4 linked regions of the Schizosaccharomyces pombe genome follow. The gene in region 4 interacts genetically with the main gene of each other region. Each region holds a gene or a part of one and is shown on either strand. Other genes may lie near its edges.

Evidence for each region.
Region 1: of ctt1 (region 4) and ecl3, extra expression of one rescues a mutant of the other (dosage rescue), as found in Schizosaccharomyces pombe (2 studies listed by BioGRID, with this or other methods).
Region 2: of ctt1 (region 4) and mas5, changing one suppresses a phenotype caused by changing the other (phenotypic suppression), as found in Schizosaccharomyces pombe (one study listed by BioGRID).
Region 3: of ctt1 (region 4) and txl1, changing one suppresses a phenotype caused by changing the other (phenotypic suppression), as found in Schizosaccharomyces pombe (one study listed by BioGRID).

The regions. Positions count from the first base shown.
Region 1 is NC_003423.3:4,440,031-4,444,243, forward strand, and holds ecl3 (protein Ecl3), read right to left. Parts: upstream 1,798-4,213; 5' UTR 1,580-1,797; coding exon 1,310-1,579; downstream 1-1,309.
Region 2 is NC_003423.3:1,078,483-1,084,185, forward strand, and holds mas5 (DNAJ domain-containing protein Mas5), read left to right. Parts: upstream 1-2,892; 5' UTR 2,893-3,236; coding exon 3,237-4,460; 3' UTR 4,461-4,865; downstream 4,866-5,703. Other genes in the region: ipa1 (mRNA processing protein), read right to left, coding at 1-436; alg12 (dolichyl-P-Man:Man(7)GlcNAc(2)-PP-dolichyl-alpha-1,6-mannosyltransferase), read right to left, coding at 5,103-5,599, 5,645-5,703. UniProt on the Schizosaccharomyces pombe protein: Probably involved in mitochondrial protein import. Plays a role in microtubule cytoskeleton organization.
Region 3 is NC_003423.3:765,200-770,050, forward strand, and holds txl1 (thioredoxin-1-like protein Txl1), read right to left. Parts: upstream 2,292-4,851; 5' UTR 2,280-2,291; coding exon 2,056-2,279; intron 2,004-2,055; coding exon 1,355-2,003; 3' UTR 1,153-1,354; downstream 1-1,152. Other genes in the region: ubiquitin C-terminal hydrolase Ubp10, read left to right, coding at 72-1,054; DNA repair ERCC8 family protein ckn1, read left to right, coding at 2,583-2,619, 2,670-2,817, 2,881-2,988, 3,069-3,186, 3,235-3,313, 3,358-4,082; pre4 (proteasome core particle subunit beta 7), read left to right, coding at 4,483-4,851. UniProt on the Schizosaccharomyces pombe protein: Has a role in cellular detoxification of alkyl hydroperoxide.
Region 4 is NC_003421.2:55,419-60,898, reverse strand, and holds ctt1 (catalase), read left to right. Parts: upstream 1-2,065; 5' UTR 2,066-2,433; coding exon 2,434-3,972; 3' UTR 3,973-4,245; downstream 4,246-5,480. Other genes in the region: cytochrome c oxidase assembly protein Cox14, read left to right, coding at 205-351, 409-471; SPOM_SPCC757.06 (uncharacterized protein), read right to left, coding at 4,870-5,076, 5,120-5,233, 5,291-5,320. UniProt on the Schizosaccharomyces pombe protein: Catalyzes the degradation of hydrogen peroxide (H(2)O(2)) generated by peroxisomal oxidases to water and oxygen, thereby protecting cells from the toxic effects of hydrogen peroxide.

The sequences.
Region 1 (4,213 bases), on a different chromosome or scaffold from region 4:
ATTCATTGATTATAAACAGTATTTCGTTGTTTATTTCCTAATTTTCCAGTTATGGATGAGCTAGCAGGATACTAAACAAATGGGATACTAAATCTCCATCCTGTGGCAATATTAAGTTTATTTTTGAAATTTTTTATGATGTTCATGTACTATTAAACTCGCCAAGGTCTTAACTCATGTAGACATCAATGATATGGTAATTCTGCATTTGTGATTCTTTATATTATTTACAAATTTATTATAATTATTGAATTCGTAGCATTTACACTTCTTGAGAAAAATCTTAAGCACATTCCAATCTTTATTTTTTTTTTACTGTTCTTATTCTAATAAATTTGCCGAAGCTAATTTACAGAAAAAATCCAAATCAGTGACATCTACACGTCCCACTTTTTGTACACATTTTTAAAAGTTTAGTATATAAAAAATCTTTAATAAATCTTTACTAGTTGTATGGTGCATAGAAAACGAGAAGCGAAATTAATTATTATTTAATTCAAATAACTCTGATTCAGTAAAATAAGATGTATAAAGAAAAGATGAAATGACAAATTAATATTAGTTAAACAAAAATAGTTCATTAAATTTTTAACTAAATGACAAGATGTAAATAAATAAATAAATAAATAAATAAAAAATGCAGCCACAAATAACGAAAAATAAAGAAAATTAGGCACACTATAATAAAACAAAAAAGATCGTTCTAGCATTGGTGTTAATTGCTAGTCATTATTGCCGAATGTATGCAAATGAAAGGAAATTGACGTTAGTCCTATTAATATAAAGAAAATGCTTTTTAATAAAAAAAAAAGCTTTAAATGTATAAATGAATATCAATAATGTTATCGTAAACAAATGATTCTGTAAATGTATTTTTTTAAGATAGACTCAAGGGTAGAGTGACAAGCTCCGTAATATATTTAAATGGATATCCCTTAATATCATTATGAAACATTCTAAAGTGATGCTAAATGAGCTCAGGATTGAAGAAAAAAAAATTAAAGTAGACCCTCTTTTTTTTTTAATTTCAAAAGAAAATTAAAGATAAATAATGCAATTAGTGAGGGTGATAAAAGAAAAGAAAAAAAATCCGAGGAAACGCGAAAGAACTGTAGGTAAGTAACTAAGAAAGAGAATGTAAAAAACAAATGAAGCCGAAAATGAAAAAATGATTAGGGAAATCCAAACTATACCAAATTTTATTTGATACTAACTTCCAATAGCCTCAAAACCGATAATTTATGTAGCTCGATCAAATAGAAGAGAAATGCTTCAAAGAGTAGAAAAAACATTAAAGGTAAAAAATTTTCTAATTCTCAACACTATAATTCTTCAATTCGGTATAATATATCCCAGAATAAATTGAGGAATTCGACGAAGAGCACATTGAAGATCGTCTGCTGAAAAGATCAAAGTAATTCAAAGCAAGGTAGTCTATTGTCTCGTTGAGAGAAGGCGACTTCAAGGGATCAGAAAACAGCTCTGTCGTAGCTTTATCCTGAATTCGACATTCATTTGAGCAATACAATCCTTCGGCATCGATGGAGTTACCACATAGCAAACATAAGTTTAAATCCATTTTTTCTTTAAAATAGCTAACTTTGAAAGATAACGAAAAGACGAACGTCAAAATCCGTTGGTTTGCTTGAAAATAGAAAAAAAAATTGAGAAGGAAGATTGAATTATAAAAAGAGCTTTTGCAATTGTCCTTCTTTTTCTCTATTCTAGTGAAAGAATGAGAGGAGAAACGAAGACTTTATCGTAGATAAATGAAAGAGAAGAATTCTCTAGAGTCCTGGCGTATCTCAAACGCACTCCTCCATATATATATAAGAAAGACAAGAATTACGAAGGACGATGTAAAACCATAAACAGGGATTGCAGATTACCGTGAAAGGATGTGTATCAACGTATCATTCTCGACTGTGAATCTAGGGAAATGTTGAGAGAATAAAAAAAAATAACAAATCAAAATTGCCGAGTCTTAGGAATGTCATAATTTATTTTCTCTCAAAAGGTTTATTGTGCGACATGGAGCCGGCATCTAATTTACAGTCACTTATACGATGTCAAGTCACAACAAGCAACTATGGTAGCAAGAGAGTAGTTACTTCACATTCCCATGAGAATAGAACAGTCCAAAATCCTTCTCACACATTCCTTTTCGCTTACACGAATTTCAATTTTTATTATTTATATTTTTTTTATCTTCGAACGATGTGAGTAAAATGCGTGTGAATTCGGCAATATACGACGCTGGAAATAAATTAGTAAACTGCCCTTGACTGATCACGATAGTTATATGGAAGAAATTGTTTCGACTATCCTAACTTAATTCCTATTATTTTCAGAAAAGGGTTTAATTTTTCCAATCTTCCAGTTCAGTTTGCATACCGAACGGTACACAATCTTACCCTGTCAAAAACCCCCTTTTTCAATTTAAAAAAATGACGTCACACACTGCATCAATAGCTATATAAGAAGCCTGAGTACCTAACTATTCAAATTTTTAATTTTAATTTAAACGCATTGGTAGTATGAAATAGAACGAAATAAGTCATAGAGGATGAGATAGAATTAATTCATAACAAATTAAACTATGAAAATCGTTAGAAATTGAAATTTATTAATATCGACATCTGTCCTTATAATAATTAATTAGTTTCCACGGTCTTTTCTTGAAAATTATTCTGCGTTTTGTCGAACTAGAATAATGCACGAAAGATTAACTCATCGTTGCTTTTAATTAGATAGCAAGAATGTAAAACAATGGAATTTGCTACTCGACACGAAAATTCAAAAATTTTCGAATACTATCAAATCATCTTATATCCATTACACTTGTTGAAGGGTGGCGGGCGGTAAAATCCTCGTATCCGTTCATCTTTTTGCTTCGGCAGTATATGCTGCCTAATAAATTTTAGCGTTCGGTAAACTGAGGTTCCTAAAATAAACTACGGTTTACGTGCATGAATGGAACATACTTGGAACCGAAATTGCTGAAGTGGCTGTTTTGTGCGGATGCCGGTTGTCAGGTCAATTCCGTGCAGAACATTCTGCTCGGTACCTGGTAGTTGTTAATTTCAAAGACCGACAATAGGAGAGGTGAGGGGAATTTTGTAGGATGGCGGCATTTCCGTTCGCCGAGTTTAATGGAAGTGGAAGCATGCATGCTTTGTTGATGTCTATTTTGTCAAAGAAATCTTATCACCCAACATCCTATCGGGTTGGAGGATATCGGAACCAACTTATCCGGGTGTTCTGTGTGTGGGCATGCATTGAGCTACACAGCATCAATCCGTGGTATTCTGGAATGTATACTTTTGAAACCGGCCGATTACTGGTTTTAAAACAACGACATCGCGTGCTTTCCATGGAATTGAAAAAACCAAACAGCTCGACGATTAAACCGTGTTTTACTTGGGCCAATTCTGTATTGTATAATGACATACTGATTTTTATTTTCGCAAATTTCATTTTGAATGCATACCGTATTGAGTTCTCTGCAGTATGAGTTTGTCTCTTAACTACAATTTTGTCTCAATTAGTAATGTCAACGTTATTAACTTAAGATTTCCGAGTGGGTCTAACGAGGGTATTACCACTTTTGCAACTTTTTTATGAACTGATACCCCTTTAGTATAATTGTCTGTTTTTGCAGTTGTCCGCTAGTGCTAATTCTTTTACTTTAAAGTGCAAATCTTAAACCAAATTGACCCATTACTTTCCCTCAGTTTTCTAACACCGCGTTACCTTAATCCTGAAATAGAAAATTTTAATTGTTAATATTTTTTTACTATTTTTTTATATTTCCTTATTGGATTCATATCAGTTACAAAGCAAATTGGACGGTTTACTTATAAACATAGTGTTTTGCATTTCCGATTTCTTCCTGTTTTGCTATTTTGTTTTGAAATAAGATTAAGCAGGTGGTGAATGTGCCGGTTGCCAGGGAACGTCAACACCAAAGCTTTTGATCTTAATTATTAATTTTTTTTCTATAACAAAGCCACCAATCTGACAAACTGGTAGTTTACTATATATATTGCTCCATTGCATACTGAATTATCTGTGTGTGTAAACCACCGGTACTCAGTTTTCTTAATTCTAATTGCAACCGCATTCGGACTTCATTAATTTGCATAAAGCAGCGATTAAGACTTACTTTATCATTCATTGCTTTCCTTTTCTCTCATATTTTGAACGCAAGGAA
Region 2 (5,703 bases), on a different chromosome or scaffold from region 4:
CCAAATAAGCACAGTCATCAGTAGGTTGAAACATTGAAGGACCCCCTCTTTTGGAAAGGACCGTAGGATAATCTGTATGACAGGACCAGCAATCTAGCATTTCCATCCAATTTGCAGATGGTAGATCTTTCCAAGAAGAGATGCTTGTTAAGAAAGATTGACATTGTTTACATTTAATGGTACTTTTGACAGCATCATCTTTATTTAAATCAATAGCCTTCCAAGGAACCTGTATTTCATCGCTATATGTAACTGGAGGACACGAAATTACCAATTGAATAGTATCCGAGCGTATAATAGGATTAATTGGAGTCGACCTAGAAAGCGTTAAGGGTAAAGGGAATTTTAAGTCAGCGACGCATTTTGGGATGTCTTTTGTTTCTGGATCCAAAAAGACATTTACCCTACCTACATGAACGAGATATTCAGCAAGCATGCAAAGTCTGTATAGATGATTCGCTGCTTATTGATCGAAGAAGAAGCAAAGAGCAAAGGTGAAGAGAAATTGAGACGAATGATATAACGAGAACTAGTGCCAAAAAAGTTAATTATAGCGAAGCACTAACGTATCATTATGTTACGATACATGACTATATACAAAAATTGAGAGGTTTGAAAGTTACTCTCGCTATTCCATCAGAAAGCGTTGCAAAGCAGTGTAATATCATCCAGCGTAGTTTAAACTAGAACCGTATTGTTTACTGAATGCCAGCAATACACTACTCTATGATACACTGTGTTGCGTATTACTATATGGCACATGTTCTAATTATATATCATACTATGTATGATACGACATTGAGATTGATCTTAATGATAATTTATTAAGATCTATATTATCTGAATACTATAAATAGAGCTACTGCTGAACCTCGTTCCTCAGTTCAGTTATGAGCTATATCGGTGACCGATACTAAGAGACTTCTTATAACAATAAATATACGTTATTAGTTAACATACCGCATACCGCTACATTGTAGGTCGCAAGTAAACTCACCACAGTTCTGTGTATCGTTAAATAGATACCAAACTGCGTAGCTGATACTGAATGAGAAGTGTAGTAAATAATAAAAGAGGTTTGTGTCATTTATGAAGGTGTTTTTGAGGAAATAATTATTATAAATAATTGTTGTGTTGCATATAAACAGGATTTAAAGGTAAATAAGGGAAGAAAAAAGCTTAGCCAACTTGAGTTGACCCCATAAAAGAAACATATATTATTTATTTATTCGTTAATGTTTTTTAAACACAAAATGTAAACGATTCATTGATATTGAAGAATGTAATAGTAAGAAAAAAATTAATGAAATATTTAGAAAATACAAATCAATTGCAATCTCGTTATTTTTTTCTTGTGTAATAAAAAAAAAAAATTGTGCAGTGAAAATTAAACAAGTTTATTATGACAGTAGAATAAAACACTTATTAACCATCTATCCTACACAAAATGCATTAATTTCTTTCTTTTTAATTTTAGTCAATTATTTACTTTTGAATTCACTTCACATTCTCATTTACTTTTAGCCTTTTGTTTACTCCTTTACCTCCACATGGTTAGATTTCAGGTCAGTCCCCCACTTGGAGCTTTTTCAATACCATGTGGGAAAATCGATTATGGACTTTTAATCCCACCTGTGTATGCCCCCACATGGAACTTTCTATAACTTTCCATGGAAACCGGGGATGGAGCAATATGTTCAAAGAATAATGCTAGAAAGATTGTATGCTGAATCCCACAAGGTACGTGACCCCCACAAAATAATAAGCATACTTCCTATGGTAATAAAATAATAATATAGAGATTTTGCTACTTTCAAGACTTTGTCCCTTTCATGTAAATACAAATTATTTTTTTCACAAGTGCGTCGTAGTGTTAGGAAATAGAATTGAAGAAACATTAGAAACGTCAACTAAGACTGATGTTTATGAATCTCGTTTCTTTTCAACGTACTGTAGAATGTAGAAGAATGTAAACAAATAGATAAACTACCTTCTACTAAATATTTCATTATCTTCATTATCTTATGTAAAAAACGTGGTGCTAGCTTTCCGTTTGATCCAATATTATACTATACAATTGTTTTTATCTTCAACAGGATTCGATTACTTACGGGGAAAAATTAAGGTTAAATGGAAATGTGAATAAAATCATAATATTACTAAAATCCCTTTGCAACTATTTACAAACATCTTTCTGTTGACTTCTCAGTATTTAAATTGTTTTTCTTTTCATTCATCCATAAAAAACATATACATTCTTTAGTATTCTCTTTTTTTCTTCTCTTCCGTGCATACTAGAGTGTTTGCAACCTTCTTTACGAAAGATTCGCTATCAGTAGTTTTCTACTGTTTTCTTTTTTCCATAAATTTCGCTGGGTGGCTGCAAACAGAGAAATTTTCGTTTCCTTAATAACCTGTAGGGTCCGCCTCCTTCTTTGTGAATTGTAAAGAGGCAAACAATAGAAATTGATCGCCTAAACAAATTAAAACAAAAAAATTTAACTGCCGAAGTGCATTTTTATTCAATTTTTTTTTACGTTTTTCTCTGTTTCCCGGCTTTCGCGATATCGTTTGGCATTTGCATTTTTATTTATTTAGTCTTATTTACTGTACAAATTCAATCCTTTATTTTCCTATTGTTTCAAAGGGGAAAGAAATAAAAGGAAAGGAAATTTCTCATCTCTTGATTTTAACTCGATTTTCTATACTCGCAGTTTGAATCTCTGTGTGATTATTTCTTTTCTTTTGATCATTTTATATATTTTGAGCGAAATTTTTACGATTTTCTTACTCAGCACAACAATTACGATTTAAGGGAAATTTTGTTCTCGTATTTTCCTTTGACAACAACACACCAGCTACAAGAACATAAGAACAACACACTTTTCTTTCAACCATTTCCTACCACTTTTCACATTTTGATAATTTGTGAAAGGAAATTTAATAGAAAAGTATTGAAAAGAAACGATTATTTTGTGTTTCTTTCTAGAAAATTGGTGGATTGCTATTTTAGCGATAAAATTTTTTTTAAACTTATCTGAGAAAGTTTTTAAGGGAAATTTTTTTACTTTTTCCTCTTTTCTCACGAATTTGACTTATTGTTGAATCTTTGCTTTATTATAGACTCCATTAAAGTCTCCTCTAATATTTTATCTTCTTAATATTCCAATTTCTTTTTTATTTACCCCCTTTCTTCCACTGTCGTTTTTGTTCTCCTTACATATATTACAAGCATAATGGTGAAAGAAACTAAACTATACGAAGTCTTGAACGTTGATGTCACTGCTTCTCAAGCTGAATTGAAGAAAGCTTACCGCAAGCTTGCTTTAAAATATCATCCCGACAAAAACCCTAATGCCGGCGATAAGTTTAAGGAAATTAGCCGTGCTTATGAAATTCTTGCTGATGAAGAGAAACGTGCTACTTATGATCGTTTTGGTGAAGAAGGTTTACAAGGTGGTGGTGCCGATGGTGGTATGTCTGCTGATGACTTGTTTGCTTCCTTTTTTGGTGGTGGAATGTTTGGTGGTGGTATGCCCCGTGGTCCTCGCAAGGGCAAGGATCTTGTTCATACCATCAAGGTTACTTTGGAGGACCTCTATCGTGGTAAGACTACAAAGCTTGCTTTGCAAAAGAAGGTCATTTGCCCCAAGTGTAGCGGTCGTGGTGGCAAGGAAGGCTCTGTCAAATCTTGTGCCTCTTGTAATGGTAGCGGTGTCAAATTCATTACTCGTGCCATGGGTCCAATGATACAACGTATGCAAATGACCTGTCCTGATTGTAATGGTGCAGGTGAAACCATCCGCGATGAAGACCGTTGCAAAGAATGTGATGGTGCCAAGGTCATTTCTCAACGTAAAATCCTTACCGTACATGTTGAGAAGGGTATGCACAATGGTCAGAAGATTGTATTTAAGGAAGAAGGCGAGCAAGCTCCTGGAATCATTCCCGGTGATGTAATCTTTGTCATTGATCAAAAGGAACATCCTCGTTTCAAGCGCAGTGGTGATCATTTGTTTTATGAGGCTCATGTCGATTTACTCACTGCTTTGGCTGGTGGTCAAATTGTCGTCGAGCACCTGGACGACCGTTGGCTTACTATCCCCATCATCCCCGGAGAGTGCATTCGTCCCAATGAACTCAAAGTTCTTCCTGGTCAAGGTATGCTTTCTCAACGCCATCATCAACCTGGAAACCTTTACATTCGCTTCCATGTCGACTTTCCTGAACCCAACTTCGCTACCCCAGAACAGCTTGCATTGCTTGAAAAGGCTTTACCTCCCCGTAAGATTGAGAGCGCTCCCAAAAATGCTCACACTGAGGAATGTGTTTTGGCAACTGTCGATCCTACTGAGAAGGTTCGCATTGACAATAACGTGGACCCCACTACTGCCACTTCGATGGATGAAGATGAAGATGAAGAAGGTGGACACCCCGGTGTTCAATGTGCTCAACAGTAAACCTGTCTTATTCTGAATTTCTTTTCATTCATTTTTTCAAAATTGACAGCATTTGGATTCGTTATCCTTTTAAGAAGAGCCTAGACAATTATTTGTTTTCAGATGTTCCTAATCTTTTCCTTAGGTTTCGAGTTGCTATTGCATGTATACCTTATTCTCTTGTTCCTTTTTTTCATCCTGTAAACTCATTCCCCTCATTTGGTGTTAGTTTTCTTTTATCTCATAAAGATGTTTGATATCTAGCTTCGGCATATCTAACATACTTGCCTTTGATAGTTATTCTCTCGGTTCTTATCTTGGTCTTTATACTTCGTTAATACGCTGCTTCAATAAATATAATGACTGCAAAAAGTCGATTTATAAATATGAATACATAAATTAGATCTTGCTTGCTTTGTTTGTAAAATTTTAGTATTTGTGAGACAATTACAATTACGGCTTTTGGAAAAAGTAGTAAATAATTTTTGATGCGCTTCTGCACTTTGAATTGTCTGCGAACTAAAATTATGTTTATTCACTCTACTTATCGTTGCAATACAATTCAAGTGGGGGATGCTACTAAATTGTAACTGTAAATACAAAATCGTAAAACTTGAAGAATATACCTTGAAAAAATTTTACTCTCGTTTTCTTACTAAACTATCATCCCTGGGTGATATGCGTTAGAATCCGATCTTTGTCAATAAAAAAGTTCAGACGGTCTTCCCGGTAATCTCTTGTCAACAATGTGTCAGGAGATACCACCCTATAAATAGGAGGCCAAAGTTTAATCTCGTCAACTTTATGTCCGATGAATGAAGAGTAGTCATCAACTGCGGCAGGTTTAGTTGCTCGTGCTTTTTTGTTTGCCAAGATGTAAACGGGCTGTGCTGGATTTCTTATGGAGATTTCTCGCGGTATGTGATTACTTAACCATTTTGGAAGGATGGGAATTTTCGTGTTGGAATTAACGGATTCTATAACATCAAAAGTATCATTATATGATTCGGGATCTTCGGTGATTAAATAGTCGAATTGGGAAATAAATAAAGAATTTGAAAGCATTTTAGGATCCTCAGTTTTGTCATAGTACCACGATGGAAGCTGTGAAAATCGAGTTATACCTGTCATACACGGATATACATCCATGTGTACAGAAACTAAGTACGTTAGAATAATCTAATTGGTGAAAAAGTTGAACTTACCTTGGGGATGATTTTCAATTTCATATAAACGAGTTAATGCTAGACCACCAGGGTAAGCG
Region 3 (4,851 bases), on a different chromosome or scaffold from region 4:
TTTTATAAAGCTTACTATGAAAAAGTGATAGGATTCATTTTATTTAATGGTTTAAGTTCTAACACTTGTAGGTTTTGTTGGCATGAACAATATAAAAAATAACGATTACTTTAATGTGGTGATTCATATGTTGGCCCATGTTAAGCCATTTCGAAATTATTTTTTGCTTAAAAACTTTGATAATTGCCCTCAACTTGTCCAAAGATTGGCAATCCTTATTCGTAAACTTTGGAACCATAAAGCATTCAAGAGCCATGTCTCTCCTCAAGAACTCATTCAGGAGGTTACAGTTCTTTCTCACAAAAAATATTCTATTAATGAACAAAAAGATCCAGTAGAATTCCTTTCCTGGTTTTTAAATACTTTACACAATTGCCTTGGTGGAAAAAAGTCGACCATAGCAAAACCTACTTCTATTGTACATTACAGCTTTCAAGGATTTGTACGTATTGAATCACAGAAAATTCGCCAACATGCTGAAAAGGGAGAGCAAGTTGTGTTTACTGGTGATAGGGTTATACAAACTAACGTCGTCCCTTTTCTTTACCTTACTCTTGATTTACCTCCGAAACCCATATTCCAAGATGAGTTTGAAGGTAATATCATCCCACAAGTAGAATTAAAAGAGATACTTAACAAATATAATGGGGTACATACCCAAGAACTTGCAGGTATGCGACGGCGTTTTCATTTAATGACGGCTCCTCCATACTTTATATTTCACATCAAAAGATTTATGAAAAACAATTACTTTACGGAAAGAAACCAAACTATAGTGACATTTCCTTTGGATGATTTTGATATGAGCCCATTTATTGATGACTCATTTATCCAGTCAAATCCGAAAATCTCTACGAAATACAACCTCGTTGCTAATATTATACATGAGTCCGTGACACATGCTGAAGAAGAATTTCATAACTTCCGAATTCAAATTCGAAACCCCTCTACCAATAAATGGTATCAAATTCAAGACTTATATGTTGAAGAAATCAGTAGCGATATGATTCGTTTAGGCGAAAGTTTTATTCAGCTTTGGGAAAGGTCATCATAGTGTTAATATGTGGAATTTTTGGATTTCTCACAAAATTTCCTCTACGTGAGACAAAATTAAAAAACATTCATTTTATTTATCAAACGTTACCGCTTAGAAAATCTTTATTCTATATAAATTAGATTATCCATTTATATTCCCATTTCGTGAGTAGTCAGCAATTACAATGCTCAAATGAAAGGTTTGTAGTATTCTTTGGTATCAAGACACCAGATTGGTCGAGTAATGTATACGAAACTAGATTTTCATAAAGGTAAATTCGTAAACCGTCATGATTTTAGTTAACAAATTGTTAAGCACCTAAGCTTCGACCTTTTGTAGTTTTCCTTTACTTGAATCACCAACAGGCTCACCAAATAATTCTAAGCGAGAAATCTTAGTAGTTTCTTCTTCTCCGACATTCGAATAAATAAAAATAACGAGAGAATTGACACGTTGAAATTTAACAAAACGAAGGGGAATAATTGTAGGTTGATCGTCTTGTTCGTAAACTATATCCTCAATGACTTGAGTTGGAGTAAATGACTCAGCATCTTCAAAAGAAAGATTGTTGGGCTGATTGATGTACAATTTGATGGTTTTTGGAGCACTCGAAGTTTCTCCCTTAACAGGAGTAATTGCAATAGAATGAACCTTTACCACTTCAAGAAAAGGTATGTATATCATTAATTGCTCGTCAACATCCGACTCTAAAAATGAGGAAGGATTACTGTTAAATGCACTTTTCAAATCGTGATCATCTTGTTGATTTAGACATTCCAATTGGGGATTTTCAATGCAGCCTTGCAAGCTAGCAAAACCCTTGACAGGTGCCGATGACGAAGAAGCAAGAGCGCCAGTTCCTGTGGCTTTTGAGGAAATCAAAGCAACTTTTTCCTTCAAAGCTTGTGGGTTTGCTCCAGTTAGCATATCAATTTGTTTGCCATTTTCAAAGAAAACAAATGTAGGCCTAAAATGTTAGCAAAACCAATGGTACAGTGACGGATTAGGTAAACACATACATTGCTTTGACGCCAAGCCCGGAGGCAATTTGACGTTGCTCGTCTACATTTACTTTAGCAAAAACGAATTTGGGGCTAGCATATTTCGATGCTAATTGTGAAAATAAGGGAGAAATTGCTTTGCAAGGACCACACCAATCGGCATAGCAATCAACTGCAAGATATCCGGACTTAGGGATCGTTGAGATCCAGTGCTGGTACGATCTAATTTCAATAACTGACATATGGTTGAGGTTGAGTTCTATAAACCGTCTGCCAATACCATCTCGTACACCACGACCGTTATTAGTAGTGCGTCTAGCCAACGTCGAAAAACATATTTTTTTATTATTGTTTCCTGGAAACTACCTTTGAGTTTGCTATTTAAACATAGAAGTTGATTAATTGACAGTATTATTTACCGCTCATATTAAACTAGCTGTAATTTTATTTAGACTTAATTTGTTATACATGGTTTAAAAACCGGGTTGTTTTAAGCTGTCAGTTGCTTACTGTAGCATCTGAGTCTATTTCTTAGGTGAAATCGAATGAATTCTTTTTTATTGGCACGAGAATGGGGCCAAGGTAATGCAATTGATTATGTGATATAAGGATTTCAAGTCTCACATTTGTAGAGCCAAATAGCTCTTTTCGAAGGCAACTACTGCAGCATCGTCTTCAACGGTTAGCGCTGAATCCGGATGTGAAAATTAAACGTAGACACGGTGCGGGCATTTTAGGATCCGTAAATGCACTAAGCATTGATAATACAATTCATCAGCTGTATGACCTATATCGTTGATTTATCAAAGCTTTCAATTTTTGGTTAACAATTTCTATTGACAGCATGGTCTCTGGAGGAGCCAACTCGTCTATCAATGTTTGGGACCTACAAAATATTGACCAAAAGGAAGATGAAGATTTAATTTTGGATACCTTAAATGCAGTTCCTGCGTAAGCATTCATTTTCTACCTAGTTTATGACAATTTCAATATATACACTAGTGATCAATAGCTAACTTGCGGTGTTTTAGTCGAACGAGTCATAAGTTTGGAATAACAGATTTGCATTGGTTTCCGTTTGATAATGGTATTTTTACTAGCTCGTCGTTCGATCATACGCTCAAGGTTTGGGATGTTTCTACTTTACAGGTAATAAAAGTAGAAATCGCAAATTAACCAATGTTCTAATATTGGTAGGAAGCTTACACTTTTACTATGGAGGACATGATTTATTCACATGCATGGTCGCCCATTGCATCACATTGTTTAATTGCCAGTACGTTATATTCTTCATTCTTGAGATTGTTCATCTAACGATAGCCGCCTACCGGTCTTCGTCTATTCGGCTTTGTGATATGCAAAGTGGTAGTTATACTCATAGTTTGTCTGGACACACGGGTAATGTCCTTGCGGTGGATTGGTGTCCTAAGAATGAATTCGTGTTAGCGTCCGGCTCTGCAGATGGCACTTGCAGACTTTGGGACATTCGTAAAGTATCATCCAGCTTCGCATGTATGGATCTACATAATAAGTATTTACCCAGTAACCAGACAAATATATCTCATTACGGCACCGTTAATGGATTAGCTTGGACTTCAGATGCTCGATATTTGGCAAGTTGTGGTACCGACGATCGAATAAGAGTATGGAATATGGAAAGTGGAAGAAACACATTGAGAGAATTTGGACCTATTATTCATAACCAGACTACTTCCTTCGCGGTACATCCTTGCATGATCCAACCCTCTATGGATTCAGATGTTTTTGTGTTATTCCCCAACGATGATGGGTCTCTTGCCTTATTGAACTTGTTAGAAGGCTCGTTTGTGCGCCGACTTTCAACCCACAGTTTAAAACGTATTAATTGTGCTGCCTATCGTCCTGACTTTGAACAGTGTTTTACTGGTGATATGAATGGGAACATTTACATGTGGTCTCCTAAAGCTCTAAAATCGCCTACGAAGATTTCGGATTTAGAAACAAGACGAAACATAATTCAAGAAGTATACGACTCTTTAATTAATATTCCAGTGACTTATCAATAATTGCTAAGCTTATGTTTCATTTTAACTAAACTTTGACCAACGGAGTTTAGACTTGAGCCATTCCATTGAATATTGCACAATTTTTAGGAAGATAAAGTTTTCTATATTTTATTTATTAGTTTAACTCTACATCATAGTTTGATCCCATAAAGTGACTTTGTCTGTACTTTTTCTTATCAAACATAGGTTGCTTCAGTTTATCATTAAAAGTTAATGTATCTAGAATAAATCTAGAATAGCAAATATAAAACTTTTGAAAGCTATTAATAAGCAACCTTCTCAAAATTACTACAAACTTTTCAAACACTGTCTTCGTAATAGGTGCATGGTGGTTATGTGTTATAAAGCGACATCAACCTCGAAAACTTAGTAAGAACCACACAGTTTTAATTTGCAAAAAATGAGTTTTTTAGAATTAACAGAGGTTTGGGGAAAGCCTCAAAAAGACATTTTTTTTCCTAGTGGCTCGGAAGTTGAAGAATCAACCGATGCACCAATTCAACGCACTGTTCAACCGATAGTAACTGGATCATCAGTCCTTGCTTTGAAGTTTGCAGACGGTGTAATGATTGCTGCTGATAACCTGGCATCCTATGGATCATTAGCGCGCTTTTATGATGTTGAACGGTTGACAAAAGTAGGTGATAATACGATTGTTGGCGCCGGTGGGGATATTTCGGATTATCAACAAATCCAGCGCCTATTAGAAAAATTAGAAATAAAAGAAGGAAATTATGGTGACGGCTATGCCTTACAACCTTCGTATATT
Region 4 (5,480 bases):
TGGGAAGGCCTCATTTCTACAAAACCCAACTGTAAAGAGCTTTGCCACTAAAGGTGACCTTTTAAGAGCACATTCCATCAGTGCTAATAATCATTAACAACATATTAAATTATAAAGAAAACTCAGTAAGTTTACTGAAGCGATTAGGCTGTGTAATGTGGTAAACTGACAAACACGACTACTAACAACTACTAGGTCAGTGTTATGAACAGAAATCGAATTTACGACATTGTACAAAAGGGATCGGTATCGATTCTAATTTTCGGCACTGTTGGAGGCACTGTTCTTCTTGGCCAATCTTATTATTCTCATAGGCAACGGCGTTTAGCAGCATTGCAAGAGTTTCAACAGGTATGAATTCCAACTAAGGGAATTGGACGTGTGTAACTAATTTTTCAAACGTTCTAGAGAGAAAAGATAAAAGAAGAAGGATTTGCAGAGGATGAATTTAATCAACTCGCCCTCAAGTAAGAAAAAATGGTGCTGAAAAGCTGAAGCTATCAGCATCGTGAATTTTCGAGGACTTTGTGAAGTCTTGGAGAGGGAAATAAAGAATAAAGCGAAATCTAAGTAACTATTTTGTTTACTAAGTTGATGCTGTTTCTGCACTTACTGATGATGACCAAAAAACACTATAGTTCTCTATATAGTGAAATTTAATTCTGCCACCTATAACGTCCCCTCTTTCATGAACAGCAGTTAATGGCATTTATGCTTAAAGTACTTTTACCAACTAAAAATTGAATTCAACATAAAACAAGCTTGTGAATACCACCTTCAATCTTTGTTTGACGAGTCAAATGGTAGTAGTTTATTTAAGCGAATGTAGAGTGAGCGATGGGAAACAACAACGTATGGGTTATATCTTCATCCGCTGAATTAAAACATGCATGGAAATCGTAGTGTTTATATCGAACCTAAAAAATTAGTCAGACCAACGAAAGAAAAAATTCCTTATTATTATTACTTCGTTTTGCTTGAAATTTGTGATGTAGAGGAAAAGAAGGACTTTTATTAAACGTATCATATTCTATTTCACACATTCCTACGGATTGCCTTTACACGCCGTCCATACCTACGGTTTGTCGGTCCTTAGATTGTTTGCATCTCCCATTTTTTTTTTTTTGTAAGCAAGGGACTTGTTTCACTTCCAGCCTTTCTTCGACCTTAGACTTGCACTCCTAAGTATATTGGACGAAAGTATTCTAATTTCAGTAACCTCCTTATCTATTTCACTCTCCTAGTCATACTTCCGATTTGTGCACATTATACCTCTACGGGAAGCTGTGCACAATGAATCCACTTTCTCAGTTCAGTTAATATAGAATAGAAAAAATTTATAATTTAAGAAATATACAATGCGCCCATAAAACACGTTTCCAAACTAATCGATCATAAAATTACCATAACTTCCTTTTCTCACTCACCCATTTCCCGATCTTAGCACATCAACCCGACATCATTTGAAATTAAACCATACTTTTGTGAAATCAATTCTTCAAGCTAAACAAACCGCATGAATACAGGCCAAAATCTACATGCTTGCATATCCTATTTTACCATACATCTGTTTTATTTACTTCCCCAGGAAACACACTATACTCTGCTAATCTACCAAAAACACTGGTTCCAAAGGGTGCATGTCCAGCACAAGTTTGCGACTGAAAAGTCTAGCTTTTAATTTTATTAAGCATCTTTCTCCTCTATATCGACTTGCAGTAGAATTTCATGTCAGCGTCTGTGTCTAGAAACGCTGGTTTTACTAATCGCTAACGATGGGATTTGCCCGCTTACGTTAGCGATGGTGTTGGGAGATTTGATATGGCCAAGTAACGGTATGAGCGCATCGTAAACATTGGCTGAAGGGTGGATTTTGGCGACTACGATAGGCTGTAGAAGAAGTTAATTTGTCATTGTAGCTTCGCTAATAATGATGCTCTTTGGCTCACTAAGCCAATGGAATCTCGGCCATTTGCGTTGGTAAGAGTTTTCCTATTGTGCAAATATGACGTTGGTAATTCTACACCAGACAATATATATAGAGGCAATTGCAAGTTGCTTGAATATACAGCTTTTCACGTAAAAGTAATAGCTTTTGAATAGAAGAATACTATAAGTTCTTCTTTGTGTGTGTGTGATTGTAATTCCCTTGTTCGAATATCGAATTATAGAAATTGTGGTTGTGTCTTGAGTGATTTAGTTAAAGACTCGACACTAATTTTTTAAAAAAACACAATTTTTTGACTGTCTTTTTTTTTCCCCTCCTAACTCTTCAAAGTGTCGGCTTTTCGCATCTTTGAACGTTACTGTCTTGGTAGACAAGCTAGTTTAAAATCATTTGCTCGTCGTTCAACTAATTCCAAGATTAACAATAATAAGCTACTCTTTAACAGATTTGCATCTTCTCAGTCTAAGGATTCAAACATCAGCGAAATGAACTCGAAAGACTCAAATACCGTCCCTGTTTACACCACCAACACCGGTTGTCCCATTTTTAACCCTATGGCTGCGGCTCGTGTGGGTAAGGGAGGTCCTGTCTTACTTCAAGATTCCCATTTAATCGACGTCTTTCAACACTTTGATCGCGAGCGTATTCCTGAACGTGTCGTCCATGCAAAGGGTTCCGGTGCTTTTGGTGAATTCGAATGCACCGACGACATTACCAAGTATACCAAACATACCATGTTTTCTAAGGTTGGTAAGAAAACCCCTATGGTTGCTCGTTTCTCCACCGTCGGTGGTGAAAGGGGTACTCCTGATACTGCTCGTGATCCTCGTGGGTTCGCATTAAAGTTCTACACCGATGAAGGTATTTTCGATATGGTTGGAAACAATACCCCTGTCTTCTTCCTTCGTGATCCCGCTAAATTCCCTCTCTTCATCCATACTCAGAAGCGTAACCCTCAAAATGATATGAAGGATGCTACTATGTTTTGGGATTACCTTTCTCAAAACGCAGAGTCCATCCATCAAGTTATGATTCTTTTCTCTGACTTGGGTGGTACCCCTTATAGCTACCGTTTCATGGATGGCTTTTCCAGTCATACCTACAAATTTGTTAATGATAAGGGTGAATTCTACTATTGCAAATGGCATTTCATTACTAATCAAGGAACCAAGGGTTTAACAAATGAAGAAGCCGCTGCATTGGATGGATCCAATCCCGACCATGCTCGTCAAGATCTTTTCGAAGCTATTGAACGTGGTGATTACCCCAGTTGGACGCTTTACGTTCAAGTTATGACCCCTCAGGAGGCTGAAAAATATCGCTACAACATTTTCGATCTTACTAAGGTCTGGCCTCATAAGGACGTACCAATGCAAAGGGTTGGACGCTTTACCTTGAATCAGAATCCTACCAATTTCTTTGCAGATATCGAGCAGGCTGGGTTCTCTCCTTCTCATATGGTTCCTGGTATTGAAGTCTCAGCGGATCCTGTTTTGCAAGTACGTACATTTTCCTATCCTGATACCCACCGCCATCGTTTGGGTGCTAATTTCGAGCAAATTCCCGTCAATTCTCCTAAGTGTCCTGTCTTTAACTATTCTCGTGACGGCCCTATGAATGTCAATGGAAACCAAGGAAATTGGCCAAACTATCCATCCTCAATCCGACCACTTGCTAAAGTTCAATATGAGCCTGACGAAGGTCACGAAAAGTGGGTAGGTCAAGTTACTTACCATATGGACGAAATTACCGACGTTGATTTTGAGCAACCTAGAGCGTTTTGGCAAAATGTTTTGGGCAAGAAACCTGGACAGCAAGATAACTTTGTTAAGAACGTTGCCGGTCACTTGTCTGGTGCTATATCTCCTGTACGTGAACGCCAATACGGTGTATTTACTCGTGTTGATTCAGAGCTTGGTCGCCGTATTCGTGAGGCTACTGAAGCTGAAGTGAAGAAGATGGAAGAAAAAGCCCCCAAGCCAATTAACAAGGGCGAACCCCATATGTTCCAAGGAAGCTCATAATGCGCTTATGCGAAATTAGTTTGTAAAAAATTTGAGTCAGCTAGGTTTATCGGATGACTACTATTTTATTCTTTGAATGCGAGACATGTGTAATGCCGTTAGAAATTTATTTAATTTGATAAATGTTAATTAGGAAATATATATTTTAACCTCAATAAGCACATAACATTGATAAGAAAGCAAACAATCTTGACATATTAGGTTAACATATAAATAAGGTCTAAGGCTTATTGTGTTTTCCAAGTCTTCTGCCGTAAATTTCTTAATATCTGTACCAGATGAGGAAAGGAAGATTAAAATTTTGTAATCAATTAGGAAAGCTTAAAAGCAAATTCATGAGCCACACACGATATTCGATTACTTATGTAGCTAGCAACAGTAAATTAGCACTTTTAAAGCCAGTTGTCATGTGCATTAGATTTATGTTTTTTGCAGTATTTGTATCTTTGTAAAACAAGCCGAAATATTATATTGAATAAATTTGTCACTCATGGTGTTATTATTCCTTTAGTCTCTAGTATTCAAAGCCAGTTGAGGTTTGGCCGGTTTATCAATGAAATTTTCGAATAACTATTAACATGAACTACTCGTAATAATCATACTCGAAACAACCCTGTCATTATTTAAAAAACATTGGGAGAACTCGAGTGTCTCCATCGACATCATTAGCGCTATATGCATTCATAAATAGTTTTAAATTCAGTCTTGGCTTATAGATATAACGTCTTTGCTGATGATGATAGAAATCTTCTTGAGGCGTATTTGTAACATCATTGTGAAGAATTAGAGGAATTATCATAGAAAGCCGACATAGTGAATTTGGTGGCAGTTTATACCATTTTATAACTTCAAGAATATCAGAAGAGGTAGCTTTTTGTCCTTAAAGAACAGCCGTTGCTAAAATGTCAATTTCTGAACAGTAGGTAAAACTGTAATTAATTCACTACAGCTGAAGCTTTGACGTGGGCAATCAGTCATCTTTACAATTAATTTTATTAAAAATTTTAACGACATTTCTCCAAGAGTTTGTAATTGTGCTACCTCAATTGCAGGCACTGAGAGTAAAAAAATGGGACGACTAGTTCCGTTGAGGGCATTTGACATCTTTGATTTTGCCGAAATTAATTAAAGAGTTTTTGACACTAACTTCTTTGTAGCAAGATTCTCCGTAAAATAATTGACAACCCAATTTGCAGACGTGAGCGTCTTGTTTATCATGATCGAGGGATCCTACATAGCCACAGCAAGTATATTTACAGTACTGGAAAAATATCAACTTGAAACTTAATTATGGACTTCCTGAGCCATGAAAACACACCACTCTTGAGGTTTTATCAGGATTCACCATTAGTTAATTAGTGATGGCTTGACGCTCCTTCGTCTTCCAGCAATCATCTATGGCAATGTTCTCATGTGCATAGTCAAGCATTTCCGATGACTTTATTACTTCATAAAAGGTAAAAAAATATTTTAGCTGATGTTACTTCCAATTTATTTTAAGTATCCCA